Linked DNA regions of Anolis sagrei. The protein of the gene in region 4 purifies or fractionates together with the protein of the main gene of each other region. This does not show direct contact. Links are inferred from orthologs where the notes say so. Each region holds a gene or a part of one and is shown on either strand. Other genes may lie near its edges. The genes, in order: RAB40C, ASB6, TULP4 and RNF7.

The links.
Region 1: the proteins of RNF7 (region 4) and RAB40C purify together in Homo sapiens (co-immunoprecipitation; 4 studies listed by BioGRID and IntAct, with this or other methods). This does not show direct contact. The link is inferred for Anolis sagrei from reciprocal best matches to the Homo sapiens genes RNF7 and RAB40C.
Region 2: the proteins of RNF7 (region 4) and ASB6 purify together in Homo sapiens (co-immunoprecipitation; 4 studies listed by BioGRID and IntAct, counting the BioPlex papers as one, with this or other methods). This does not show direct contact. The link is inferred for Anolis sagrei from reciprocal best matches to the Homo sapiens genes RNF7 and ASB6.
Region 3: the proteins of RNF7 (region 4) and TULP4 purify together in Homo sapiens (co-immunoprecipitation; 3 studies listed by BioGRID and IntAct, with this or other methods). This does not show direct contact. The link is inferred for Anolis sagrei from reciprocal best matches to the Homo sapiens genes RNF7 and TULP4.

The regions. Positions count from the first base shown.
Region 1 is NC_090034.1:27,646,640-27,653,518, reverse strand, and holds the start of RAB40C (ras-related protein Rab-40C), read right to left. Parts: upstream 3,001-6,879; 5' UTR 2,887-3,000; intron 1-2,886. UniProt on the Homo sapiens protein: RAB40C small GTPase acts as substrate-recognition component of the ECS(RAB40C) E3 ubiquitin ligase complex which mediates the ubiquitination and subsequent proteasomal degradation of target proteins.
Region 2 is NC_090031.1:3,738,605-3,745,682, reverse strand, and holds the start of ASB6 (ankyrin repeat and SOCS box protein 6), read left to right. Parts: upstream 1-4,071; 5' UTR 4,072-4,154; intron 4,155-5,870; 5' UTR 5,871-5,882; coding exon 5,883-5,995; intron 5,996-7,078. UniProt on the Homo sapiens protein: Probable substrate-recognition component of a SCF-like ECS (Elongin-Cullin-SOCS-box protein) E3 ubiquitin-protein ligase complex which mediates the ubiquitination and subsequent proteasomal degradation of target proteins.
Region 3 is NC_090021.1:69,018,154-69,026,031, forward strand, and holds the start of TULP4 (tubby-related protein 4), read right to left. Parts: upstream 3,018-7,878; 5' UTR 2,807-3,017; intron 1-2,806. UniProt on the Homo sapiens protein: May be a substrate-recognition component of a SCF-like ECS (Elongin-Cullin-SOCS-box protein) E3 ubiquitin ligase complex which mediates the ubiquitination and subsequent proteasomal degradation of target proteins.
Region 4 is NC_090023.1:236,793,713-236,800,792, forward strand, and holds the start of RNF7 (RING-box protein 2), read left to right. Parts: upstream 1-4,059; 5' UTR 4,060-4,152; coding exon 4,153-4,336; intron 4,337-7,080. Other genes in the region: uncharacterized protein, read left to right, coding at 726-737. UniProt on the Homo sapiens protein: Catalytic component of multiple cullin-5-RING E3 ubiquitin-protein ligase complexes (ECS complexes), which mediate the ubiquitination and subsequent proteasomal degradation of target proteins.

The DNA.
Region 1 (6,879 bases), on a different chromosome or scaffold from region 4:
ATAGCAGTTTAACAATGTTACTTAACACTTATTAAGCAACACTTCCAAAATGATATGTATATCACAGCTGATTGCATGGCAAGTGAGATTATTATTCCCTCCCTGTGATGCAGAGGGAGACTGAGAAGAGAGTGCAGTTTAGCTAAAACCAGATACTGGGTTTATTTATGGGAGAGGCCAGATCATTACCTGGGACTTCCTGATTTGTAAGTTGTTTTTGCTTACAAGGTGCTTCCCAGAGGCACAACCATACAAAAGTTATGGCACTAGGGGCTCAGATCCCTTATTTGGCAGCCAAACCTGGACGCTTTGACTCCATCTATACTGGCCATTTTATGCAGTTTTCAATCAAGTACTCAAGAAAGTAGTTTCACGGTACAGAGTATTGCATCAGAAATCCTAGGACCAGTTTGAAGTCCGGAGGCGATGTCACAAATCACAGAGCACTAATGCACATTCAGGACTTTCTCTCACACACTTCTGTGGGAGTTTGTTTTTGGATGCCCAGAGTTTGAAGCTAGCATTAAATGGTCAGTGTAAATGGGGCCTTAATGAGTGAGCACTCTTATGCATAGAAACACAAGAGTTGGAAGAGACTAGGACCAAGAGGACTGAAAGCAAGGATTGAAGTACAGTTGATCTAACTTTAATTCAGCCACCACTGAAGTGCATTTGAACTCCCTTTAATTCAACTGTGATTTAATTCAGTAGCTCTGTTTTTAGCAATATCTTAGGATCCTAGAGTAGGAAGAAATGGGTCATCCAGTCCAAGCTTATTCTGCCCTGCAGGAAATGTATAATTCAAACACTCCCAACAGATGGGCATCAAGCCTCTATTTAAAGACCTCCAGAGAAGGAGACTCCACTGGACTGGCATATTACACGTTCTTCCTGATTTTTAGGTGGGATCCTCTTTTCTTGCAATCTGAATATTTCCAAAATAAAAAATATCAATATTGTTGGAAGGGATGGGAAACAATGATTGAGGTACATTTGAACTCCCTTTAATTCAAAAGGTGGTTTAACCCTGTAGCTCTTGTTTTTTTTAGCAATTATCTTAGAATCCTAGCATTGAAAATAACCCCAAAGGCCATTCAGCCCAATCTTATTGTGTCAAGTAGCAATACACAATCAAAACATTCCCAACGGATGACCAACCTCTTAGGGGGTTGGACTAGATGGTCCATGTGGTCTCTTCCAACTCTATGATTCTATATTTAGGTGGAATCCTCTCTTTCTGAGTCCCTCCGGGGAGATAGAGAGGAATATAAATATAGTTATTATTGTTATTATTATTATTATTATTATTATTATTACTATATATTCCTGCAATCTGAATCTTTAAAAGAATCAATCTTGTTGAGAGGTATGACGGTGATCTCTAAATGCATTTGAACTTCCTTTAATTCAACGGTGGTTTAATAAACCGTAGCTCTGTTTTTAGCAGTATCTCAGAATCAACAGAGTTGGAAGGGATCTTAAGGGCCACCCAATCAGGTTATTCTTCCATGCAGGAACCCGCAACACAAGCATTCCTCCTTGCTTAGGAAAACCATATGAAATCCATGGGGTCACCCTATGCTGACAAGTGAAGCTCCAGTTACACTGCCATATAATCCCATCTCTAGAACCGTCTCTGAGGATTATTATCTGCGTTGAACTTGATTATATGGCAGAGCGAATCCAGCCTGACTCCCTTTAATTCAACAGCGGTTTAACCCTGTTGATCTGCTTTTGGCAACCTCCTACAACCCCAAGAAAGAGACCACAACAGCCATTATTATTATTATTATTATTATTATTATTATTATTATTTTACTGACACAAAAACACAGCAAACGAGATATATATGCTGGATTTTGCATCAAAAATCACAAGTTGAACACTTCCCAAGTGTCTAGAACTGTGTGATGTATTTTCGAATAATGCGCACAGCTCCAAGTAAGCTGGCCTTTTGCAGGTGACAGAGTGTGACTTTGTCAATGTTTATTGTTTCCAAATGCTGGCGGCCATTATCATCATCATCATCATCATCATTCTCTGTAGTTCTTTGGCAATCTCTTACAATCCCAAGGAAGAGACATCAAGGGCCATTATTACTATTATATTATTATAATATATTATTATTATATTCCCTATAGCTCTGCTTTTGCCAATCTCTTTGAATCCCAAGGAAGAGACCCCAATTGCCATTATTACTATTATTATTTCTACTACTATTATTATTCTATTCCCTGTAGCTCTGCTTTTGCCAATCTCTTATCCCCAAGGAAGAGATCTCAATGGCCATTAGTGCGATTATTATTATTATGTAATATACTATTAACTTGGAATATTACTATTATTATATTATTATAATATTCCCTGTAGCTCTGCTTTTGGCAATCACATCTCGCCATTATGCTTACTCTTAGGCTTATTCTTATTATAATTATTGCAATATCATATATTACAAATATATAATATTTATAGATTAATAACATCATTTTTATTATGTTCCTTGTATTTCTGGTTTTGGCAACCTCTTACAACCCCAAGGGTCATTATTATTATTATTATTATTATTATTATGTTATATATTATCATCATTATAATTATTCTTAAATTCCCTGTATCTCTTTGGCCATTATAAATTATTATTATTGAAGATCTTTCAATACAATTTTAATAAAATCTACAAGCATTCATATCAGGTTTAATTATCATTGGCATTACATTTTTAAAAACCCCTTAAAATCCGCATTCAAAACTAAACCAAAAACCCACCCAGCATGGCCTGCCTGAATAAATAAATAAATAAGAAAAGACCCGGGCCGGGGCCCATTCGGCGAGGTCACGATCAGAACCCTCCCGACAGATGTCAATCCCCTCCCGTCTAGGCCTCACCTGCCCGCCTGCCTGTTTCCTTCCTGCTTCCTCCTCCTTCTTCTCTGAGTCGGCCGCGCTCGGCTCCTGCACGAACGAGCCAACGCAGCGGCTACGGCGTCCTCCCATAGGCTTCCCTACACGTCAATCAGCAATGATGAGCGGTGGGCAGGGAAATGCAAGCGAGAGTCGCCCTCCCACAGGTTCCCCCGCACGTCAGTCAAACCGCCCTACCTTGTGTATTTTTTCTCTCTCCAGCCTCCACAGGTGCCCCATCCAATCAGGAGCGGCAGCCGTGGAAAAAGTAAAGGAGAGCGGCACTTCCATAGGCTCGTCTGCACGTCAGTCATCCCATCCTTCCTTGTGTTTGTTCTCTCTCGCGCCTCCTCAAGTGCGCCTCCAATGACAAGCGGCGGGCGGGGAAAACGCAAGGAAGAACGGCCCTCTTATAGGCTGCTCCGCATATCAGTCAGTCCGCTTTTCCTTGTGTTTTTTTTCTACTTCCCGCCTCCTCAGGGGGGTTCCTCCACTCAGGAACGGCGGGCGGGGAAAAAGCGAGAGAGAAGGGAAAGGCCTGGGAAATGTCACTCAGCCTGAAGACGTTTGATCCCGCCCTCTCAGGCTGACGCGCCCAATCACGAGCCGCGAAGGATTGGTGAGCGGGGAGAGAAGGCAGAGACAGAGAGAGAGAGAGAGAAGGGGAGGGACCATAGACTACTCGTCCCGGCATGCAGCGCGCGGCCTTGGTGCGCTGACGCTGAGCGTGAAATAAGACAAAGCATGTTGGGAAGGGGAGGAAGAGTTCCTTCCTTCCTCATGGCGTCTCCATGGCAACAGGGCTCTCCCTCTGGCCTCTCCATACACACAGGCCCCTTTCCTTCCCCAGTGACGTAGAGGAAGACAACTTCACCTAGCAACGGCTGATCTTGGGTCATGACAGAGGGTCACTTCACCTAGCAACGGCCAAGCCAGTGACATCGTAAAAAACCACCGGATTGTCACCTAGCAACAGCTTTTTGTACAAACAGACAGACATACCTGACTGTATATGTATATATATGTCTCTCTGTGTGTGTATGAATGTGCATTTCATAATGTGTGATTAATGTATCTTTTATTAGAAATGACCTTGATTTACAGGAGTTCTAGTTCACCTGCATCCAGAGAAAGAGTGACCCCCACCGACAATGGACCAGGACCAAACTTGGCACAGAGAAGCCCCATGACCAACTGAACATACTGCAGGGATTTGTGGGAATTGGCCTTCATTTTGGGAGTTATAGTTCACCTACATCTGGTGACCCCCACCGAAAATGGACCAGGACCAAACTTGGCACAGAGAAGCCCCTTGACCAACAGAAAATACTGCAGGGATTTGTGGGAATTGATCTTCATTTTGGGAGTTGTAGTTCACCTACATTCAGAAGAACAATGACCCCCCACCAACAATGGACCAGGACCAAACTTGGCACAGAGAAGCCCCAAGACAACTCAGTGTTGGGCTTTGTGGGACTTGACCTTGTTTTTGGGAGTTGTAGTTCACTTGCATCCAGAGAAACAATGGCCCCCACTGACAATGGACTTGGACCAAACTTGGCACACAGAAGCCCCATGACCAGCTGAACATACTGCAGGGGTTTGTGGGAATTGACCTTCATTTCGCAAGTTGCAGTTCACCTTCATCCAGCGAAACAGTGACCCCCATCAACAGTTGACAGGAACCAAACATGACACAGAGAAGCGCCATGACCAAGTGAACATACTCAGGGGTTTGTGGGAATTGAGCTTGGTTTGAGGAGTTGTAGTTCACCTGCATCCAGAAAGTACTGAACAGAGGCAACGTCAGATCTGGACCAAACTTGGTGCACAGACCCAACAGAGCCAACTATGCATACAGACGGGGTTTGGGGGCAATTGCCCAGGGAATTTGGGAGTTGTATCCAGAGAGCACTAAACTCAGCCAACGATGGATCCGGACCAAGCTTGGCACACAGACCCAACATGGCCAAGTGCGAATATGTTCCGCCTCGTAGTCTTAAGATCTGCTGGGGAGGCCCTGCTTTCGGTCCCACCAGCTTCGCTAATGTGACTGGTGGGGATGATGGACAGGGTCTTCTTGGTGGTGACCTCGCTGCCTGTGGAATTCACTCCCCAGCGAAATTAGATCAGCGGCCTCCCTCCTTTCTTTCAGAAGAAAACTGAAGACGTGGTTGTGGAACCAGGCTTTTGGCTAATGGATTTAACGGCACCAGAACAGTGAATTGGACCAGACGGTTGTTACAATGGAAATGCCTTTATGATTGGATAACTAATGCTGTTTTAATGTATCGTACTGTATGATTTTATTTTGCTTTATTATTGTAATTATTGCAGCATTGAATTGTTGCCTTTGTTAGCCGCTCTGAGTCCCCCTGCGGGAGTGAGAAAAGCAGGGCAGAAATGCTGTAAATAAATAATAAATAAATACTGTCAAGGTTTGGAAGTGATTGCCCTAGGAATCCAGGAGTTGTAGTTCACCCTCATCCAGAGAGCATGGAACCCAGCCAACAATGGATGTGGATCAAATTTAAAGTTTTGGGTTTTTTTTAATGTCAGGAGCAACTTGAGAAACTGCAAGTTGCTTCTGATATGAGAGAATCAGCTGTCTGCAAGGACATTGCCCAGGGGACATCCGGATGTGTTTCCATCCTGTGGGAGGCTTCTATCATGTTCCTGTATGAGAAGCTGGAGGTGACCAATGGGAGCTCACCCCGCTCCCCAGATTCGACCTGCCGACCTTTCCGTCAGCAGTCCTGCCAGCACAAGGCTTTAACTCATTGTGCCAGTGGGAGCTCCACCAAACTTAAGTGATATTACCTAACATCCCAAAACAAACAATGCCTTCTTCTAATAACCCGGGCACCTGCCCAATAAATCCCAGTGTTTGTATGTATTTTCCAAGAAGGCCCCAACTTTCAGGGAGCACTGTAACTCCCACCAACAATGGATCTGGACCAATCTTGGCACACAGAAACCCCATGGCCAACAGAACACACAGGAGTGGTTTTGGGGGGAATTGACTTTGAGTTGGGTGAGTTGTAGTTCACCTACATCCAAAGAGTATTGCAAACGCAAATGACAACATGTGGATCATACTTGGCACACAGATCCAACATGGCCAACTGTGAGCACTGGTGGGGTTTGGGAGTGATTGACCTTGGAATCTGGGAGTTGTAGTTCACCCACCTCTGGAGAGTACTGAAACCAGCCAACGACAAATCTGAACCAAACTTGACTCACCCAACATGGCCACCTAGGAATACTGTCAGGGTTTGGAGGTGATTGACCTTGGAATATGGGAGTTGTGGTTCACCCACGTCCATGTATCAAATATATGAGAGGAAGTCATAGGGAGGAGGGAGCAGGCTTGTTTTCTGCTGCTCTGGAGACTATGGTTTCAAACTGCAAGAAAGGCGATTCCATCTGAACATAAGGAAGAACGCCGCCCTGAGTCCCCCCTTGGGGGTTGAGAAGGGCGGGGTAGAAGTGCCTGAAATAAATAAATAAATAAACTTCCTGACTGTGAGATCTGTTCAACAGTGGAACTCTCTGCCCCGGAGCATGGTTGAGGCTCCTTCTTTGGAGGCTTTTAAACAGAGGCTGGATGGCTATCTGTCGGGGGTGCTTTGAAAGCGATTTTCCTGCTTCCTCACAGGGGGTTGGACTGGATGGGCCACGAGGTCTCTTCCAGCTCTATGATTTTATGATTATGCTTTTTCTAATGGAAGCAATCATAAAAAGCAAATTATTAAACTGATATTTCTAAACATAAAAATCGACTTTTTTCAAATAACCTGTGTACCCAAGCTAGCCTGCCTGCTATCTATCTGTCTATCTATCTATCTATCTATCTATCTATCTATCTATCTATCTATCTATCTATCTATCTATCAGAAGCCTCAAAAGAAAAAAGAGACGGGGGACACGAATCCAGGGATTCTCATGGCTGCCAATCTCTTTGCGCAGCACATGGGA
Region 2 (7,078 bases), on a different chromosome or scaffold from region 4:
TACAGTCGCTTCATAAGCAAGGTAATGGCCATATCTAAATAAATCTCCATTGGATGGGAGCATTGGGATTTGTAGTTTCCCAAGAGCCTGAGGTGCAAACTATAGGTCCCAGGATGCCACAGCATTGGGCATGGCAGCATTCGTTCAATAATACAGACACATCGTAAGCAAGGTAATGGCCATATCTAAATAAATCTCCATTGGATGGGAGCATTGGGATTTGTAGTTTCCCAAGAGCCTGAGGTGCAAACTATAGGTCCCAGGATGCCACAGCATTGGGCATGGTGGCATTCGCTCAATAATACAGACACATCGTAAGCAAGGTAATGGCCATATCTAAATAAATCTCCATTGGACGGAGGCCTTGGGATTTGTAGTTCCCCAAGGGCCTGAGGTGAAAACTATAGGTCCCAGGATGCCACAGCATTGGGCATGGTGGCATTTGTTCAATAATATAGACACATCGTAAGGAAGGTAATGGCCATATCTAAATAAATCTCCATTGGATAGGGACCTTGGGATTTGTAGTTCCCCAAGGGCCCGAGGTGCGAACTATGGGTCCCAGGATGCCATAGCATTGGGCATGGCGGCATTTGTTCAATAATACAGACATGTTGTAAGCAAGGAAATGACCATATCTAAATAAATCTCCAATGGATGGGGGCCTTGGGATTTGTAGTTCCCCAAGGGCCCGAGGTGCAAACTATAGGTCCCAGGATGCCACAGCATTGGGCATGGCAGCATTCGTTCAATAATACAGACACATCGTAAGGAAGGTAATGGCCATATCTAAATAAATCTCCATTGGATGGAGGCCTTGGAATTTGTAGTTCCCCAAGGGCCCGAGGTGCAAACTATGGGTCCTTGGATGCCACAGCATTGGGCATGGCTTTCATTGAATAATATGGATGCTTCCTTAGAAAGATAACATTCACAGCTCCGTTCTATTGAACCCTGGGATTTGAAGTTTCCCAGGGGCCTAAGCTGCAAACGGTGCAAACCCAAGGAGGCCGTGGCATTGAGCAGGGCGTTCATTTTCGATAATATATAAGGTTTTTGAGGGGGGAGCAGCCGGGCGGCGGCGGCGCCGGAGTTCTTGGGCCTGAAGAGGCCCTTGGGAGACGGCGTTTTCCTGGAATTTGGAGGGAAAGGCTTCAAAGGGAAGGCAGGCAGGCAGGCCTTGGCAAAAGCCACGCCACCAGGCTGGGAGGAAGCCTCTCTTCCCCGCAGAAAGGCAGGCCCAGTGGAGCTGCGCCTACACTGCAGGAGTTAATCCAGTTTGGCACCACTTTGGCGCCCTGGGAGTTGTAGTTTGCCAAGGCCCGGAGGCTTCTCAGGCTGCATTCCTTCCCCAAACTCCCAGCATAATAGGATGTATGGCTGCATGGTCCCAGGCGGGATATCATATTGTGAAAATGTGATTTAAAATGTAATATATTATATGCACATACAAACACATACACAAACACATACACATACACACCAGGCCTGGACCAACTTGGGCCCTCCCTCCAGGTGTTTTGGACTTCAACTCCCACAATTCCTAACAGCCTACCGTATATATGTATATGTGTGTGTTACTAAATTATTATTATTTTGTAAATGGGCCCTTGGTATCAACCGTAATTAAAAATGTATTTTTAAAATATGGATATTTGATTAATATTACTAAGTTATTTTGTAATTTTCTTTAAAGAATGGGCCCTCAGTATGCACTGTAATTCAAATGTATTTTAATTCAGGGTGTTTGTGTGTATATATATGTTAATAACACACACACACATATATATATCACATTATATATATGTGTGTATATATCTCTCTGTGTGTGTTGTTAACACATTAGTAATATTTTTATGAAATATATATCCCAAAAATCCATAGAGGAGACAAGATAATATTTTTTTATTTTTGTTTTGTTTTTATTATATTTTAAAATTGTTTTTATTTTAATTTTATTTCAATTTCATTATTTATTTATTTATTTATATTTTTTAATATCTATCTAATATTTCTATCTATCCCTTTATCTCTCTATGTATTTTATCTAGCCTATCTATCCTTTTATCCCTCCATCCATCCCTTTATTCCTCTATCCATCCATCCATCCATCCATCCATCCATCCATCCATATATCTCCCCTCTCTATCTATCTATCCAATTATCTATCCACCCATCCCTCCATATATCCCTCTATCTATCCATCTCTTTCTTTATACCTCCATCTATCCATCCCTTTATTCCTCTATCCATCTATCTGTCTATCCATCCATCCATCTACCCCTTTATTCCTCCATCCATCCATATATCCCTCCCTCTCTGTCCATCTGTCTGTTCATCCATCAATCCATCCATCCCTTGATCTAACCCTCTCTCTTAACTATCCATCCATCCCTCGAGCCATCCATTCATCCATCCATCCCTCCCTCCATCCATCCATCCATCCATCCATCCATCCATCCATATATCCCTCTATCTATCTATCTATCTGTCTGTCTGTCTGTCTGTCTGTCTGTCTATCCATCCATCCATCCATCCATCCATCCATTCATTCATATATCCCTCTATCTATCTATCGATCTATCGATATCTATCTATCCATATATCCCTCTATCTATCTATCCATATATCCCCCTATCTTCTATCTATCTATCTATCTATCTATCTATCTATCTATCAATCTATCTATCTGTCTATCCATCCATCCATCCATCCATCCATTCATTCATATATCCCTCTATCTATCTATCTATCTATCTATCTATCTATCTATCGATCTATCGATATCTATCTATCTATCCATATATCCCTCTATCTATCTATCCATATATCCTCCTATCTTCTATCTATCTATCTATCTATCTATCTATCATCTATCTATCATCTATCTATCATCTATCTATCTATCTATCTATCTATCTATCGATATCTATCTATCTATCCATATATCCCTCTATCTATCTATCCATATATCCTCCTATCTTCTATCTATCTATCTATCTATCTATCATCTATCTATCATCTATCTATCTATCTATCTATCTATCGATATCTATCTATCTATCCATATATCCCTCTATCTATCTATTCATATATCCCCCTATCTTCTATCTATCTATCTATCTATCTATCTATCTATCTATCTATCTATCTATCTATCTATCATCTATCTATCATCTATCTATCATCTATCTATCATCTATCTATCTATCTATCTATCTATCTATCTATCTATCTATCTATCTATCCCTCTATCCCTCTATCTATCTATCTATCTATCTATCCATCCATCCATCCATCCATCCATCTATCCATCCATCCATCCATCCATCCATATATCCCTCTATCTATCTATCTATCTGTCTGTCTATCCATCCATCCATCCATCCATTCATATATCCCTCTATCTATCTATCTATCTATCTATCTATCTATCTATCGATCTATCGATATCTATCTATCTATCCATATATCCCTCTATCTATCCATCCATATATCCCCCTATCTTCTATCTATCTATCTATCTATCTATCATCTATCTATCCATCCATCCATCCATCCATCCATCCATCCATCCATCCATCCATCCATCCATCCATCCATCCATCCATCCATCCATCCATCCATCCATCCATCCATCCATCCATCCATCCATCCATCCATCCATCCATCCATCCATCCATCCATCTATACCTTTATTCGTCCATCCATCCGTCTATCCCTTTATCTCTCTCTCTCTCTCTCTCTCTCTCTCTCTATTGATCCATCGATCCATCTATCGATCCATCTATCTCTCCCCCCATCCATCCATCCACCCACATGCCTACCTACCTACCTACCTACCTCTCCCTCCCTCCCTCCCTCCCTGCCTGCCTGGGGCGTGCTCCTTTCCTCTAGTTAGGGAACACCGCCCTCCGGTGGCCGTGGGAGGCGCTGCAGGGCTTTTGGCGGAGAGCAGCCGAGTTCCCCCCGGCCAGCAGGTGGCGCCAGAGAAACCAAGCCCAGGAGATAAACTGCATTTTTGTTTTGTTTCCAAATCTACCCAAAAGCCCTCCTTCCTTCCTTCCTTCCTTCCGCTTCCTTTTCGGCTGGAAGGGAAGCCGCCTTTGCAAAGGAGAGACGCGGAAAAAGAAGAGGTTTTGCAGGAGAGAAAGGTGAGCGAGTGCAGGGGGAGACTCTCCTGATCTATGCATTAAATAATATATATTATTTTATGTTGTATTGAATATAATAAAATTAGTATAGATCAAATATCTATAATATTATATTATATTGAGTAATAATGTCCCAGATTAAATAAAATAATATAATATATAGTACATTAAATGTTATTTATTTTACTGTATTACATTTAATATCATATACATTATATTATTTTAAATCATATAATAGTTCCAGATTAAATTCAATAAATAGAATATATAGTACATTAAATGTTATTTTATTTATTTTACGGTATTAAATTTAATATAATATACATTATATTATATTAAATATTAGTACCAAAGTAAATCAAATAAATAGAATATATTACATTAAGTGTTAGTTTAATCACTCTCAACAAAAGATTCTCCCCAGGCACTTCCAAGCCATTATGATGTTAACTGTTTTTTATACTGTGTTATGATAACATTGAATTTTTGCTGTTCTGGTTGTTAACCGCTGTGAGTCGCCTGGCTGAGAACAGCGGTATACAAATAAAGTAAATAAATAAATTAAATGCTAATCAAGGTGGTCAGTTGAGACATTCACATCTAGCTCCAGCAGACAAGAGTCCTTTGTCCCACCCTGGTCATTCTACAGATATATAAACCCATTTTCCTAACTCCAACAGAACTCACTACCTCTGAGGATGCTTGCCATAGATGCAGGCGAAACGTCAGGAGAAAATGCCTCTAGAACATGGCCATATAGCCCGGAAAAACCTACAACAACCCATGAAAGCCTTCGACAATACATCAAATGTTATTTTATTTATTTTACTGTATTAAATTTAATATAATACACATTATATTATATTAAAACACATAATAGTTCCAGATTATATAAAATAATAGAATATATATTATATTCAGTGTTATTTTATTATGTTACGTGTAATATCTATAATATATTAATGTAATGTATTAAAGCATATCATCCAGATTATATTTAATCATGTTATTTTTATATTACATATAATATGATATATATCAAACTTAATGTTACATCATATAAGCATTCCAGATTATGTCAAATCATATATATTGAATTTAATACAATAATGTATTATATTAAAACATACAATTGTACCAGATTATATTATAATAGATATTATGTAAATATGCTATTTTATTAAATCTTATATCATATTAAATTTAATAAGATATTTCATATTAAATCATATAATTGTTCCAGATTATATTAAATAATAGAGCAGATATTTGATTCGATGAAATAGAATAAAATATATATTTGATATAAATTGTATTAATTCATATAAGCATTCAAGATTATATTAAATAGTATAATTATATATAAAATATTACATGTTCCTTTTAATATAGAAGCTTATAATATCAATATAATAAAATCAAAAATAAATATAATAAATCATATAATCGTTGCAGATTATATTCCGTTATAAAGGAACTCTTGTGTTGGGGTTTCAGATATATCGTTATGCATGTGCAGATCTCCCCAAATTGGAAAGAAATCCCAAATACTGGTTCCAACCATTTTGGAGAAGGGACACTCCATATCAACGATGATGAATGCAAGACATGAACCATGTGGGGACTCAGGTCCGGCCGCAAAGGCATCTCATTATGCATATGCAAATCTCCCATAAGAACCATGCTTTTGGGATAAGGAGTGTTGCTTGCTTTCAGGCCGGACGGACGATGCCCTTTCTGCACGGCTTCCGGAGGATCGTTTTCGAATACCAGCCGCTGGTGGACGAGATCCTCCTCGCTTTGGGGCTGCAGGGGGCGGAGCCTCAGGAGGGCCCCAAGAGGTAAGATTTATTTATCCTTATCCTAGTATTGTAATACTGGAGCACTTTATTACTGTGATTCATTAGCACTTTAACGAGGGGATAGTTTTCCGGTAGTTGTTACTCTAATGTTGCGCTTGATTTACTATTTTAAGCTGATAGTTGCTTGTCTCACCTTGCACTTTATAATTGTTGTCAACATTGGGAATGTTTCTGGAAAGAACTGGAGGGTATACCATGAAACCGGAAAAATGAATTATAATAATGGAAAAAAGGAGGATACATCATTAGGTTTGAACTTGGATGTAACATGTAACAGTGCAATATTAGATCCTCAGAATATGATGAGTGGAGAGGGCTGGAGGGAGGGGGGGAGTTCTGTGGGTCGGGGGGCCCCCATAGCGGTGATGGTGGGAAGGGGGAGATACGGGAAAGGGAGAAGCAAGAAACCAATTCGGCTAATTCGCGAAACAACCCTAAAAAAAATTCCAAAATGTTCTCCTGACAAGGTAAACTTGTGTACCAAGGTAGACGACCCTCCTAGATTGAAGGTGGTGCTGTTGAATGCCAGGTCTGTCAATGGAAAAACGTCAACTATCCGGGACTTAATCTACGATGAAAAGGCAGACCTGGCATGCATTACAGAGACCTGGTTGGACGAGGCGGGAGGGGTCAACCTCACCCAGCTTTGCCCGCCAGGCTACTCTGTGCAGCACCAGCCGAGATCAGGAGGGCGGGGAGGCGGAGTTGCAGTAGTCTATAAAGATTCCATCTCCTTGGTCAGGTGCCCTGCCCTACAGTCAACCTTGTTCGAATGTGTCCACCTGAGGCTAGGAGACCGGGACAGGATAGGGATTCTGTTGGTGTACCGACCACCCCGCTGCTCCGCAGATGCCTTACCTGAGCTAGCAGGGTTGGTCTCAGGCCTGGCATTGGAGTCCCAGCGGCTCATAGTGCTGGGGGACTTCAATGTCCATGCAGAGACCACTCTTTCAGGAGCGGCTCAGGACTTCATGGCCGCCATGGCAAACATGGGGCTGTCCCAACGAGTATCTGGCCCTAACCACTGTGCTGGACACACACTTGACCTGGTTTTCTGTCAGG
Region 3 (7,878 bases), on a different chromosome or scaffold from region 4:
CACCAGCACTCTTTGGCAGAGAAGGCTAAAGACTTTGTAAAACTACAACCCCTATGATGCTATAGCAGTGGTTCTCTACCTGTGGGTCCCCAGTTGTTTTGGTCTTCAACTTCTAGAAATTCTAACAGCAGGTTAGGTAACAGCAGACTGGGATTTCTGAGGGTTTTAGGCCAAAACACCTGGGGACCCACAGGTTGACAACCACCAGTGGTTCTCAACCTGGGGTCCCCAGATGTTTTTTGCCTACAACTCCCAGAAATCCCAGCCAGTTTACCAGCTGTTAGGATTTCTGGGAGTTGAAGGCCAAAAACATTTGGGGACCCCAGGTTGAGAACCACTGCACTAGACTATAGCATTGAGTCATGGAATCAAACTGAATTCATTCTACAGTGTAGAGATGCACCACTTCTCAATTCCATGTTCTATTTCCTTAAGAGTTTTAGCATTCAAGCCTTTTCATATCTGAACCATCCAGCATCACCAGAAATAAACATCCAAAAACATCCAAAAACGTCTGGCTCGAAAGACGAGGCTGGCCTCGTTGACTTATGAGGGCCAGACTCCTCCTGGAAAGGCCACCCAGGGCCCTTCCACATAGCCCATAACCCAGAATATCAAGGCAGAAAACCCCTGAACTGGGTTATCTGAGTCCACGCTCAGATAAAGTGGGATTTTCTGCCTTGATATTCTGGGATATAGGGCTGTGTGGAAAGGCCCTGGGTGGGCTTTCCAGGAGGAGTCTGCCCCCCCCCCCCCCCCGTAAATCAATGAGCCCAGCCTCTTTTTCAGGCAACACATCTGCCTTTCTAGTGAGATAATCGCCACCAGGTACACCTTTGTAATGCTGGAGAGTCGATCCCTACGCAAGGTTACAAAACAACATTTCTCAGACGGCTACAATCTCTTGGAGAAAGAGAGACCGCTTTGCTGCAAACCCCAGCCCTCCAAACAAGGGGCTTCATTCAGACACACTGCCTCCTTTCCATACATCCTTTTAGATTAGAGGCTAGACAAAAACATAGATGTATGGAGAGGGAGGGAAGGAAGGAAGGAATCAGGTGGTCCAGCAGAACAAAAGAACATGTAGCAGAAGGCACTTGGCTCTCGGTGTGAGTGTGCATTTCCTCTCCACACACACACACGCACACACAATTCCTCCTTACTCACTGGATACCCTTCAACCTACCAACCCACCCCTCTGGGCATCTGATCTCCGTATTCCCACACACAGAGATAAACATAGATATAAATGCACACAACACACAGACATAAATATATACATAAACACACAAATACCAATCTCTTCTTTCGTATTAGACACCCCTAGACCCTTCATACCCGCCCACCTACCCCTCTGGGCAACCTGGTCTCCATAATCACACACACATACATATACATAGATATAAACACACACACACATATAAATATATACATAAACACACACACAAATACCCATCTCTATTCTTCTCATTAGACATCCCTATATCCTTCAAACCCACCCACTCCCCCAATGGACAAACTCCATATTCCCATATACAGACATACATACATAAGCACACACATATACATACATACACACACACACACACATTCACAAAGATATATATACTATAAATTAAAAAAACACATACAAAATATGTGTATATATATGTGTGTGTGTGTGAGAGGGTTTGTATACACACATACACATAAACACTATATATAAACATAATATTTATGTGTGTTTGTATATGTAATATGTGTGTATATGTGTTTGTATACACATATACACACATATATATTATATATAAAAACACATATATGCAATATCTATGTATATTTGTATATATGTGTGTATATATGTTTGTATACACATATATACTATAAACACACATACACAATTTTAAGTGTTTGTATATATGTATGTATATATGTTTGTACACTCACATACACATATATGTACAGTATATATATATATATATAAACACACATACACAACATTTATGTGTTTGTATATATGTGTGTGTGTTTTATATGCACATATATACACTATATATAAAAACACATACACAATATTTGTTTGTGTATATGTATATATGTGTTTGTACACACACATATATACACTATATATATAAAACACACATATACAATACTTATGTGTTTCTATATATGAGCATATATGTGTTTGTACACACACACACATATATATATACACTATATATAAAAACCCACATACACAATATTTGTGTATGTGTTTGTATATACACACATATATACATTATACATATTAAAACACACATACACAATTTTATGTGTTTGTATATATGTGTCTATATGTGTTTTTGTATATACACAAACACACATATATATTATGTATGCAAACACATAAATAAATATAGGTACTGTTCCATGATCAGGGATGAGGTATACTTATATACTATATATAAATATAAACACCTATAAACGTGTATACATGTATACTTCCCACACACATTTCTATTACACAGAGAGAGACAAACAAGCCTCGGTGGAGCACAAAAGAGACAACAAACCAATGCACCTTGATGTGCACAAAACAGCAGAGGGAGAGGATTGGGAGAAGGGGGAGCATAAAGGCACCAAGGCTCTGTCATACACAAACAAACACACACACATACAAAGCGACCCTGCATCTTACAAAAGGGAGGCAGGAGAATGGGAGGAGAGAAAGAGAGGATGGAAGGGGGGGGGGGTTGCAAAGAGCTGCTGCAATCCGAAGGCGGGTGAAAAGGAAGGAAGGAAGGAAGGAAGGAAGGAAGGAAGGAAGAGGAAGGGGCGCCTGGCTGACCTTTCTCTCCTCCCCTCCTCTCTCTCTCTCTCTCTCTCTCCAAGGAGTCGGCTTGCACTCGCCCAGGCTGCCTGGCTTCCCTCCTCGCCAGCTTGGTCCCCGTTGCTGCTGACAAGCCCAGCCTGGCTCTCCTGGCCGTGCGGCGGTGGAGGCTGCTTCTGCTTCTGCTTCTGCTGCTGGGCCTGGCTCCCTTTCACGTGACGCAGCCACATGATCTCACAGCTCGCCTTGCGCTCAAAGCCCCGCCGCCACTGCCGCCACTGCCTCCGTCTCGCCTGCCGCCGCGCTCCTCCGCTCGCGCGCTCGCTTTCTCTCCCACAGCAATGGATGGAACGCCAGCGAGCAGCGCGCCTCTGAGCGCGTGCAGAGTGCGCTTTCGGCTTTGGCCCCGGCGTCGCGTGGGTTAGAATCCTAAAAGGTTAAGATCCTCTCTACACTGCAGTTTAACACCACTTCAATTACCATGGCTCAATACTATGGAGTAATGGGAGTTGTCGTTTTTGACAAGGCCAGAACTACCGCTCCAATGCTCTTATAACATTAAGCCATGGCAGTTAAAGACCCATCCAAGGCTCTGTCTATACCAGGCATGGACCCCAAGGCTCTATACCAGTGGTTCTCAACGCCTGGAGGGGTCACGAGGGAATGTCAGAGGGGTCACTAATGACCACCAGAAAACACAGTATTTTCTGTTGGTCATGGGGGCTTTATGTGGGAAGTTTGACCCAAATCTGTCGTTGGTGGAGTTCAGAATGCTCTTTGCTTGTAGGTGAACTACAAATCCCAGCAACTACAACTCCCAAAATGTCAAGGACTTTTTTCCCCAAACTCCACCAGTGTTCACATTTGGGCATGTTGAGTAGTCGTACCAAGTTTGGTCCAGATCCATCATCGTTTGACTCCACAGTGCTCTCTGGATGTAGGCGAACTACAACTCCAAAACTCCATGTCAATGCCCACCAAACCCTTCCAATATTTTCTGTTTGCCATGGGAGTTCTGTGTGCCAAGTTTGGTTCAATTCCATTGTTGGTAGAGTTCAGAATGCTCTTTGATTGCAGGTGAACTACAAATCCCAGCAACCACAACTCCCAAATGACAAAATCAACTCCCCCCCCACAACCCCACCAGTATTCAAATTTGGGCGTATTGGGTATTTGTGCCAAATTTGGTCTACTGAATGAAAATACATCCAGCGTATCAGATATTTACATTATGATTGATAACAGTAGCAAAATGACAGTTATGAAGTAGGAAGGAAAATAATTTTAGAGTTGGGGGTCACCACAACATGAGGAATTGTATTAAGGGGTCGCAGCATGAGGAAGGTCGAGAACCCCTGCGCTATACAGGTCTGGGCCAACTTGGGCCCTCCAGGTGTTTTGGTACAACGGGTGGCAGCCAGGTTACTAACTGGAGTAACTTACAGGAAGTGGTCAACCCCCCTGTTTAAGGAGCTCCATTGGCTGCCGTTCATTTTCCGGTCCCAATTCAAGGTGGAGGTTCTTACCTACAAAGCCCTGAATAGTTTGGGACCCACCTACCTGCGTGACCGCATTTCTGTGTACAAACCCACGCGATCTCTTCGATTATCTGGAGAGGTCCTGCTCTCACTCCCACCCCCTTCACAGGCGCGATTGGTGGGAACAAGGGAGAAGGCCTTCATTATAATGCATGCACAAAACTAATATATACGCAAACACACATATACACAGACTGGGCCACAGCAACATATGGCAGGGGATGACTTGTAATAACACTTTTTTAAAAAAAATCCACATTAATTTACAACAGCCAAGTAGAGTTCCCAAAATAGTGTGGGGTGGTTGTGTGGTCAAACGATGGACATTGGACTGGAATGGACTAGGAGAGTCCAAATACAAAATAGTTCTCAACCAAGACCCAGTAGTAATCTCTCATTATGTAATCCGCCTTTCTATATGCATTTCACATCATAGTGCCAGTGTAGAAACAGGCCTAATACCAATTAATAAATTGTTATTTTTTTGAAAGCAATAGCATGGATTTTTTTATCGTGTCAGAGGCAAATTGAGAACACTGCAAGTTGCCTCTGGTGTGAGATAATTGGCTGTCTGCAAGGACGTTGTTCAGGGGATGCCCAGATATGCCACCATCCTGTGGGAGGCTTCTCATGTCTCCACATGGGAAGCTGGGGCTGACAGATGGGAGCTCACCCTATTTTGCAGATTTGAACTACCAACCTTCAGGTCAGGAGTTCAGCCGACACACGTGTTTAACCCAATGCGCCACCGCAGCTCCACAGGGTGGACATTGAGTCTGTGGGGTTCCATGCTCAAACAGGAAGACAATGTAGCATCCCCCATGCTGATAGAAAGTCGAGACACGTTAATGCTGAAGACATTTAAAGCAGCTTGGATGCAACAGCACAGTGGTGTGTGTGTATGCATGTGTATATATATATACACACACACACACACACACACACATAATGATACAGAACTGTAGTATGTTGTTACATGAGTATTGCTACACCCTTAATAGTTTTCTTAACAGTATTGTAATGTGAAATAGTTCTAAACTTTCAGGGATTGTGCGTGTATCAAGTAATCCCTTTTCAGTGTGTTTTAGTATACAGTAATGTGTTTTGTTGATAATAGGCTTTTCATTTTTCCTGGAGATTTAAGAGCATCCCCTTGCTCCCTATATCATTACTATGGCACTAAATCTGATGACACATCTATTGATGGAGCTAGCTTATCTCAGCCTTTGTTGTTGTTGTCATCATCTTGGAGGAACTCTTGAAATAATGTTCTAGACTTAGGGAACCCCTGCATAAAAATTATATCCCATCACTCGAATGTTAATATTATTTCAATTTCCTGCAAAACCCCAGCAAACCCTCACAGAACTCTAGTTGAGAAATTCCTTTTTAAAGTCTTATATAAATATAATGGTGAAATGAACTTCCTTTAAGGAGAAAAGGCATTTCCTCTTTCTCCTCATTGGAGTCATTCTGCCTAACCTCATAGAATTTAAGGCAACTCAATTGCAACCCATGTCCAACGTATTAATTCGGAGGGGAAAAACACACTTTTTAATTTAATGGTGAATGAAAAAGAAAACATTGAGGCAATGACATATATTTTCACGATCTCAAGAATTTTCTTGGCCAACCAGCATGGAAAATAGACCAACACCCATGGAAGTTTATAGTGAGATACATCTGTAGGTAAATAAACTCAGTAATCACAGCTGGGATGGAAAAATTCAGACTTTCAAAGCCGCAAGCAAAACTTGGCAGTTGTGGAATCAGATGAGAACGACAAAACCAGTGCTTCAGGTTGTTACATTAATGACTGAGTTGTTTACAGATTTGCTGCTTTGATAATCTGGATTATATGGCAGTGTAGAAGGGGCCCAAGTCAGCCTGTCATCAACAGTCTTGCTCAGGACTTGAAAATTCAGGACAGTTTCCTCCGTTGTGCCCGTTCATCTGGAATGGGGTCTTCCTTTTTTCCTGCTGCCTTCTGCATTACCAAATTTATTGTCTCTTCCAGTGAGCTATGTCTTGGCATGATATGACCAAAGTACAGCACTCCCTGTTTAATAAACTTGGCTTCTCGAGAGAACTCAAACTGGATTTGCTCTAAGGTAAAGGTTTTCCCCTGACATTAAGTCCAGACATATCCAACTGTGGGAGCTGGTGCTCATCTCAATTTCTAAACTCAAAAGCTGGCGTTGTCCATAGGCACCTCCATGGTCATGTGGCTGGCATGACTGCATGGAGTGCCGTTACCTTCCCACCGAAGTGGTATCTATTGATCTACTCACATTTATATATTTTCGATTTGCTAGCCCAGCAGAAGCTGGAGCCAACAGCAGGAGCTCATGCTGCCCCTTGGATTTGAACCTGTGAACTTTCAGTCAACAAGTTCAGCAGCTCAGTGGTTTAACCCACTTCTCCATTTGATTTGCTCTAGGACCCACCTATTTGTCTATTTTGCAGCCCATGGTATCTAACTCTAACCAAGTTTATTTCTTTCACTGACCAGCTTTCATAACCATACATAGAAATTGGAAATATGGGGAAATGAGTGATCTTAACTCTAGTATTCAGTGCTATAATGTGACACTCCAGGAGCCATTTCCTTCATAGCTGCCCTTCCAAGTCCTCAGCCTCATTCACACTGCCCCTATATCTCAGGATCTGATCCTAGATTATCTGTTTATCCCAGATTATCTGGCAGTGGAGATTCATATAATCTTGTTTAAAGCAGATAATCTGGGACCAGATCCTGGGATTTGGGTAGTGTAGAAGAGGCCAAAGTCTTTTGATTTGTAACCACAGTTTCCATTCTGATTAATGACTGAGCCAAGTTATGGAAAATCTTCTACTTCCTAGTATTTGTCTCATGAATTCACAGGGTCCACTCGTTTGCTTCTTGTTCTCTACTTGTTCCTATTGGCCACATCTCTCATTGTTGTGTCTTGCTTTAGCCACGTCGCATTTCAAATGGTCAAGCCAGCGCATTCTAGGTCTACCGCGTGGCCTGGCACCTGCAACTTCCATATTCAGCACGGTTCTAGTCATGGAGCCCTCATCTCTGTGTTGCCCATGTCCAAACCATCTCAGATGGGATTTCTTAATCTTCTCGACAATCGGAGCAACTCCGAAGATTAAGTGCACTATATCGGTTGGAATCCTGTCCTTCAGGGTAACACCCCTTGATCACTTGACCATTCACATTTCCATAGTGTGCAGAGTTTGCTCGATGGCCTTAGTGGAAAATCTTTAATTCAATGTCTTTGTGATATACTTTAGAGTTATGTAAGTCAACTCTGGTCATTATTTTAGTTTTCTTAATGCTTAACTATAAACCTGACTTTGCTCCTTTTTCCTTGATTTTCTTCAGTAATCATTCCAAGTCTTTTTTTTATTTCCTGCCAATACTATGGTGTCATCTACATATCAGGTTCCTTCCTCCAGTTTTCATATTTGCTTCCCCTGAGTCTAATCCTGCTTAAGATATAATATGTTCAGCATATAAATTAAAGAGAAAGGGAGTTAAAATGCAACCTTACTAGATTCCCA
Region 4 (7,080 bases):
ACCATCCCACGCCAGAGCTCCCTGTCGGCCGTCACCTCCCCCAGCTCCTTCAGGGTCAAGCCAGTCACTTCAAGCATGCCATCCATCCATCTTGCCCTTGGTCATCCTCTCTTCCTTTTTCCTTCCATTTTCCCCAGCATCATTGTCTTCTCTAAGCTTTCCTATCTCCTCATGATGTGGCCAAAGTACTTCAACTTTGTCTCTAATATCCTTCCCTCCAATGAGCAGTCAGGCTTTATTTCCTGAAGTATGGACTGGTTGGATCTTTTTGCAGTCCAAGGCACTCTCAGAACTTTCATCCAGCACCACAGTTCAAAAGCGTCTATCTTCTTTCGCTAAGCCTTCCCTATGGTCCAGCTCTCACATCCATAGTTGATTACGGGGAATACCATTCTTTTAACTATGCAGATCTATCCAGATTTTGCATTATCATTTATCATTCTGAGTCCAGGAAGAACTGGAAATGCATAGAATAGAGGAAGAGTGTCATCTATTCCTTCTCCTTCTAATAGATTATTGGTGTTATTACTATTGGTCTGCAACTGTGTATATGCAATCCCAAATTTTGTCTTGTGTTATTATTCAGCCCATAACAATCCATTTACATCATCAAGTTATCTGCATATTTCCTCCCGTTGAGTGCTGGGGTTGGGCTATTAGCTTACTTTAACCAATACCAAACCTTGCTGAAATTTACTGACATTTGCTTTGTTTTTATTTTACAGAAAATTAAGTGATTATAAAGTTTCCAGAAGATATAAAATTCAAGAGGTTATCAAAGTTCAGCAATTCTTTACATGATGCTCTACTTTTGGAAATACTATGTTGTGTTCTCAGTTTCTTCTTATGAATATCCAGAATAAGTTGATACATTTTTAAATTTTTACAAGCTTTATTTATTGCATTAAAATAAAATTATGCAACTGCCTACAAATAAAAACTAAACACTCTACATAGCAACTTAACACCCACATTGGCTCTCTTCAACTTGTATTATTTTGAAGTGGGATGTCAGTGTTATTTATAAATAACAGTGTATTATTTATAAATACACTCAGTGTATTGCGAAGTTTATATATCATCATCGGCTTTGTTTGTATGCTAATTATGTAACAAAATATATATTATTTCAGATGAAGAACATTTTAAAGGACCATCATAATTCATTCTGTCTTATCTTGGAGGGGAAAATGTACTGAGGTTGGGCTGGCTGCCAAAGAGCATGACTGCCCAGTTCTGTAGCTCCTTCTTTCACTACTTAGTCAAAATAAATTAATACCCTTAAAATGGTGAAATTATTACAACAAAAATGCAGTATTGGCTGTGGGGCATAACAGAGTACCCACATACACAAAAAGATTAATATTGGAAAGCTTTCTACCTGTCACAAACACCAATTAATTGCAGCACTCGTACAAGTTTGTGGGCCTAAAGACGGCACTTGCCTCTTACAAAGCCTCTCAAGGAAGCAGAACACAAATGCGCAGTCCCAACAAAAGCTCTTTCAAAACCAAATTGCAGAAATTTGGGGCAGATTTCAAAATCTAAATCCTTTCTCGCTACTGCTCTAATACCACTGAATTAGAGCTACCACAGCTAATAAAACCCTTGATAGTATCCCCTAAAATTACTAGGACCTCCGGGATGGTGCACATGACAATCTTTACATTACAACTCAAAGTTGAGGATCTGGGAGGAATAATTTACGGTCCAAGAATGTTCCTGAGTCCGTAGAAGGCAACTACACAATGTTGGCCAGGGTTCTTAAACATTTCCACTTGGGACCACTTTTGGCCCAAGAATTGTTTACATGACCTCGGATATATTTGACATATAAGATAGGTATAAAAACCGAACATTTACTGATAACAAATCAGCATTTGTAAGTCTTGCTAAGCAGGCTGATTTTCCTTTACATGAAGTACAGCTGAAGCATTTTCTGTAGAGTCCACTGTAAAAACTGCACAATAGATCCATGTAAATATCTAAACATAGCCATAAGATGACAGTCAGGAAAAAAAATTGTGAACTGAACATTGAACTAAGGGGAGCCCATTTGGGGTCAGAGCTAGAGATGGGAAGGCCTGGGGGGGGGGGGGGAACCAGAAAAATGGGGGAAAGTATTTTTTTCAGTGTTTTCCCCAATTTTTCTGCCCTGTGACGGCGCGTCTGGCGCAACTTGTATGTAAATATATAGTTGAATTGTTTGGTTATCTACAGTTTTCTATCAATGTCGTTTTACATCGGCTAAATTGCTCCCCCAGCTCAATTGTTTGGCTCCACCCCTTCCTAGGGAGGAGGGCAGTGCTTTCTTTTTCATTCTACCACCAAACTACTCAACAGATGGACGTGAGAAAGGCTTGGCTCTAAGGCCTTAGTCAAGTCATCTTTTACCAAACATTCTTAAGTTTGTACTCTTAAGATTCATACTTCATGCCCAGCTCATCTGGATGACATTGAGGAATCTTAAGCGCCTTCAAACCAGTCCTTTGGCATCAAGAAGACGACTTTGTGCCTTCAATATAGGTCATTGGACTGGGGTTGTGAATGTTCCGACTTCACAGCCATTGAGATACAGGGAACTTGGAAGCTACTCAGCTGGAAAACTCCTTGGACCCAAGACTCCAGAGACTGTAATGTATATTTTCTTTACCTCTTTTGGAACATCAAGTTTAATGCCTTAGAAAGATAACTGCTTGTGAACAATAAAGCCTATTTTGAGTTATCTATAGTGTCTTGATTCTTGAGAGTTCCAGTTCTCTAAAGGAAGGCAAGAAGCAATCCCCTGGGGAAAAGACGTCACGTCCATGTTTCTTTCACTAAGAACTATAGCCCCCAGACAGCGACGGCATATGCCCCCTGCCTGGGCCAACTATTTTTCTTTTGTTTCCAGGTCTTCCCATCTCTAGGCAGAACTCATGGTTTAAGAAGCTATGATTTAGGCAGTCTTATCATGGTTTTCAGAACTGCGTCCCACAGAGAACTGCACCTTTAATTGCCAAGGATGTAGAGATGGCTCCTTACATGGTTGTCATGAAATCATAATTGTCATGCCTCCATGAAGATCCTCACTGTTTCCTTTATTTAAGTCCCATTTTTAGTTAGAGGGGATTCACATTTTATGTATAGTTTGTGAAGAGGCAGATAGATAGCCCCCTTTCCTTTAAGCCCCCCTCTCTCTGTCCCTTTAAGAATCCTCTTAAGGGCAGAGATTCAGGCTATACCCAGGCTTGGACAAACCAGCCCTCAAGGTGTTTTGGACTTCAACTCCCACAATTCCTAACAGCCGGTAGGAAACACTGGAAATAACACTTGGGCCCCCAACATAGGTAGGATTTCTTTCCATAAAGGGTACCTTCGAATTACGTACTATCTGGCATTCTCCCTAATTACAACTCTTTCTAAAGCAATAGGAATGTGATCAGTGACAAAACAGCCATGACTCTGACTCAGATGTTATACCGGGCATGGGCCAACTTGGGCCTTCCAGGTGTTTTGGACTCCAACTCCCACAATTCCTAACAGCCTACCGGCTGTTAGGAATTGTGGGAGTTGAAGTCCAAAACACCTGGAGGGCCCAAGTTGGCCCAGGCCTAGTGCCTGGCATCTCTAATGATAACTCTTTCTAGCAGTGGTTCTCAACCTGTGGGTACTTGGGTGTTTTGGTCTACAACTCCCAGAAATCCCAGCCAGTTTAGCAGCTGTTAGGATTTCTGGGAGTTGAAGGCCAAAACATCTTGGGGGCCCACAGGTTGAGAACCACTGTTAAAGCAATAGAATGTGATCAGTGACAAATAGAGGCATGGCTTTGTCTCAGACTTCATACTCAACCTGCAAAGAAAAGAAAGCAACTGGATTGCTGTCAGACCACCAACAAAGTGTTAGGAATGGTGGGAGTTGAAGTCCAAAGCACCTGGAGAGGCAAAGCTTGCCCAGGCCTGGATTTGGAGGCTCACAGGCCTCTCTTCCGGTTTCCCTGGCAGGCAAAGTGCCTCAGGTACCCGGAAGTGGGTGAGCAGTGTGGCTTTTCCTTCCTTCCTCCGGCCGGCAGGGGGCGCCGGCGAGGAGAGGAGAGAGGCGAGAGAGGCGGCGTGGGGCCTACTCGTCGTAGTCTCTCTCTTCCTGCTCCTGCTGCTCTTTCCGCTCGCAGCCATGGCCGACGTTGAGGACGGAGACGAGCCGGGCGTGTCGGTGGCGCCTCACGCGGGCTCCTCCGGCTCGAAGGCAGGCGGCGGCGTGGACAAGATGTTCTCCCTCAAGAAGTGGAACGCCGTGGCCATGTGGAGCTGGGACGTGGAGTGCGACACCTGCGCCATCTGCCGGGTGCAGGTCATGGGTGAGTCAGGCCTGGCTTGGTTTGGGGGCTTCTCGGCCTACGGGCACGGGCGAACTTAGGCCTGCCGCCCTTCAGGGATTTTGGGTAAGCGAGGCTCTACTGTATTTCCATGAACCTGGCCATAATTTGAAACCAACATTTAGGGCTTTGTTCTGAGTGCCTGTGGATCCCCCAGTGGCATTGTGGGTTGAGCAGCTGAACTTGGTGGTTCCAATCCAGGGAGCAGGGTGAGCTCCCGCTGTTAGCCCCAGCTTCTGCCAACTTTTGTTGTTGTTCATTCGTCCAGTCGTCTCCGACTCTTCGTGACCTCATGGACCAGCCCACGCCAGAGCTCCCTGTCGGCCGTTACCACCCCCAGCTCCCTCAAGGTCAGTCCAGTCACTTCAAGGATGCCATCCATCCATCTTGCCCTTGGGCGGCCCCTCTTCCTTTTGCCTTCCACTTTCCCCAGCATAATTGTCTTCTCTAGGCTTTGCTGTCTCCTCGTGATGTGGCCAAAGTACTTCAACTTTGTCTCTAGTATCCTTCCCTCCAGTGAGCAGCTGGGCTTTATTTCCTGGAGGATGGACTGGTTGGGTCTTCTCGCAGTCCAAGGCACTCTCAGCACTTTCCTCCAGTTCAAAAGCACCTTCGCTCAGCCTTCCCTAAGGTCCAGCTCTCACATCCGTAGGTTACTACAGGGAATACCATGGCTTTGACTAGGCGGATCTTTGTTGCCAGTCTGATGTCTCTACTCTTTACTATTTTATCGAGACTGGACGTTGCTCTCCTCCCAAGAAGTAAGTGTCTTCTGATTTCCTGGCTACAATCTGCATCTGCCAACCTAGCAGTTTGAAAACCTAGCAGTTCGAGGGAACCACTGACCGCATAAGGAAGCTGATGAGGAAACACAACATACAAACTATCTACAGACCCACCAAGAAAATCCAACAAATGCTACGTTCAGCAAAGGACAAGAGGGATCCTCTCGCTTCTGCAGGAGTCTACCGTGTACCATGCAGCTGTGGACAAGTCTACATAGGGACCACCAAACGCAGCATTGCCCACCAAAAGGTCGGTAGTTCCAATCCAGGGAGCAGGGTGTTAGCCCCAGCTTCTGCCAACCTAGCAGTTTGAAAACCTAGCAGTTCAAGGGAACCACTGACCGCATAGGGAAGCTGGTGAGGAAACACAACATACAAACTATCTACAGACCCACCAAGAAAATCCAACAATTCAGCAAAGGACAAGAGGGATCCTCTCACTTCTGCAGGAGTCTACCGTATACCATGCAGCTGTGGACAAATCTACATAAAAGGTAAAGGTAGTCCCCTGACATTAAGTCCAGTCATGTCTGACTGGGGTGTGGTGCTCATCTCCATTTCTAAGCCGAAGAGCCAGCGTTGTCCGTAGACACCTCCAAGGTCATGTGGCCGACATGACTGTATGGAGCGCCGTTACCTTCCCGCTGGAGTGGTACCTATTGATCTACTCACATTTGCATGTTTTCGAACTGCTAGGTTGGCAGAAGCTAGGGCTGACAGCGGAAGCTCACACCGCTCCCCGGAATCGAACCTGCAACCTTTCGATCAACAAGCTCAGCAGCTCAGTGCTTTAACCCACTGCGCCCCCTTTCCTTTTAGCCACCTCTCCCTGTCCCTTTAAGAATCCTCTTAAGATAGATATCTACATAAAAACTCCAACCATCACCCAAGTCAAAAAAAGAAACACCATTAAAGCCTTGGCAGACCGTGCAAAAAGAATCTGCGAACCCCACCTCCTCCAAGATGAACTGAACCACCTCAACTGGGCTTTACAGGCCAATGGATACTCCACCTCAGACATCAGAAGAGCTGCAAGACCAAGAACAAGCCACGAGAGTAAAGACAAAGACCCACCCCGAGGAAAAGTGTTCTTGCCATACATCAAGGAAACCACTGACCGCATAGGGAAGCTGATGAGGAAACACAACATACGAACTATCTACAGACCCACCAAGAAAATCCAACAAATGCTTCGTTCAGCAAAGGACAAGAGGGATCCTCTCGCTTCTGCAGGAGTCTACCGTGTACCATGCAGCTGTGGACAAGTCTACATAGGGACCACCAAACGCAGCAGTGCCCAAACACGAATCAAGGAACATGAAAGGCACTGCAGACTACTTCAACCAAAGAAGTCAGCCATAGCTGACTTTACGGCCCCGGCCCAGCGTACCTGTCCAAACGTATCTCCTTCTACGTCCCACCTCGGAATTTAAGATCGTCTGGGGAGGCCCTGCTCTCGGCCCCACCTTTATCACAAGTGAGACTGGTGGGGGCGAGGGACAAGGCCTTCTCGGTGGTGGCCCCTCGCCTGTGGAATGCACTCCCCAGGGAGATTAGGTCATCAACATCCCTCCTCTCCATCAGAAGGAAGTTAAAAACTTGGATGTGGGACCAGGCCTTCGGGTAAGCTGGCAGTGGACAAAAGACAATGACGACCAGAGTAGGAAAGGACAATGACGATGCTAGAGGGATCATGGATTTATGAATCGACGAACATTGGCCACAATATGTTTTTATTGCTGCGGCTGTATTGTTTGATTGTTTTAATTAGTTATAATTGTTGACGATATATTGTAATTTGTATGTTGTATTTTATGAATTGTCAGGCATCGAATTGTGCCTTTTGTAAGCTGCCCTGAGTCCCCCCTAGGGGGTTGAGAAGGGCGGGGTAGAAGCACGCCAAATAAATAACTAATAAATAATAAATAAATAGCAGAGCAA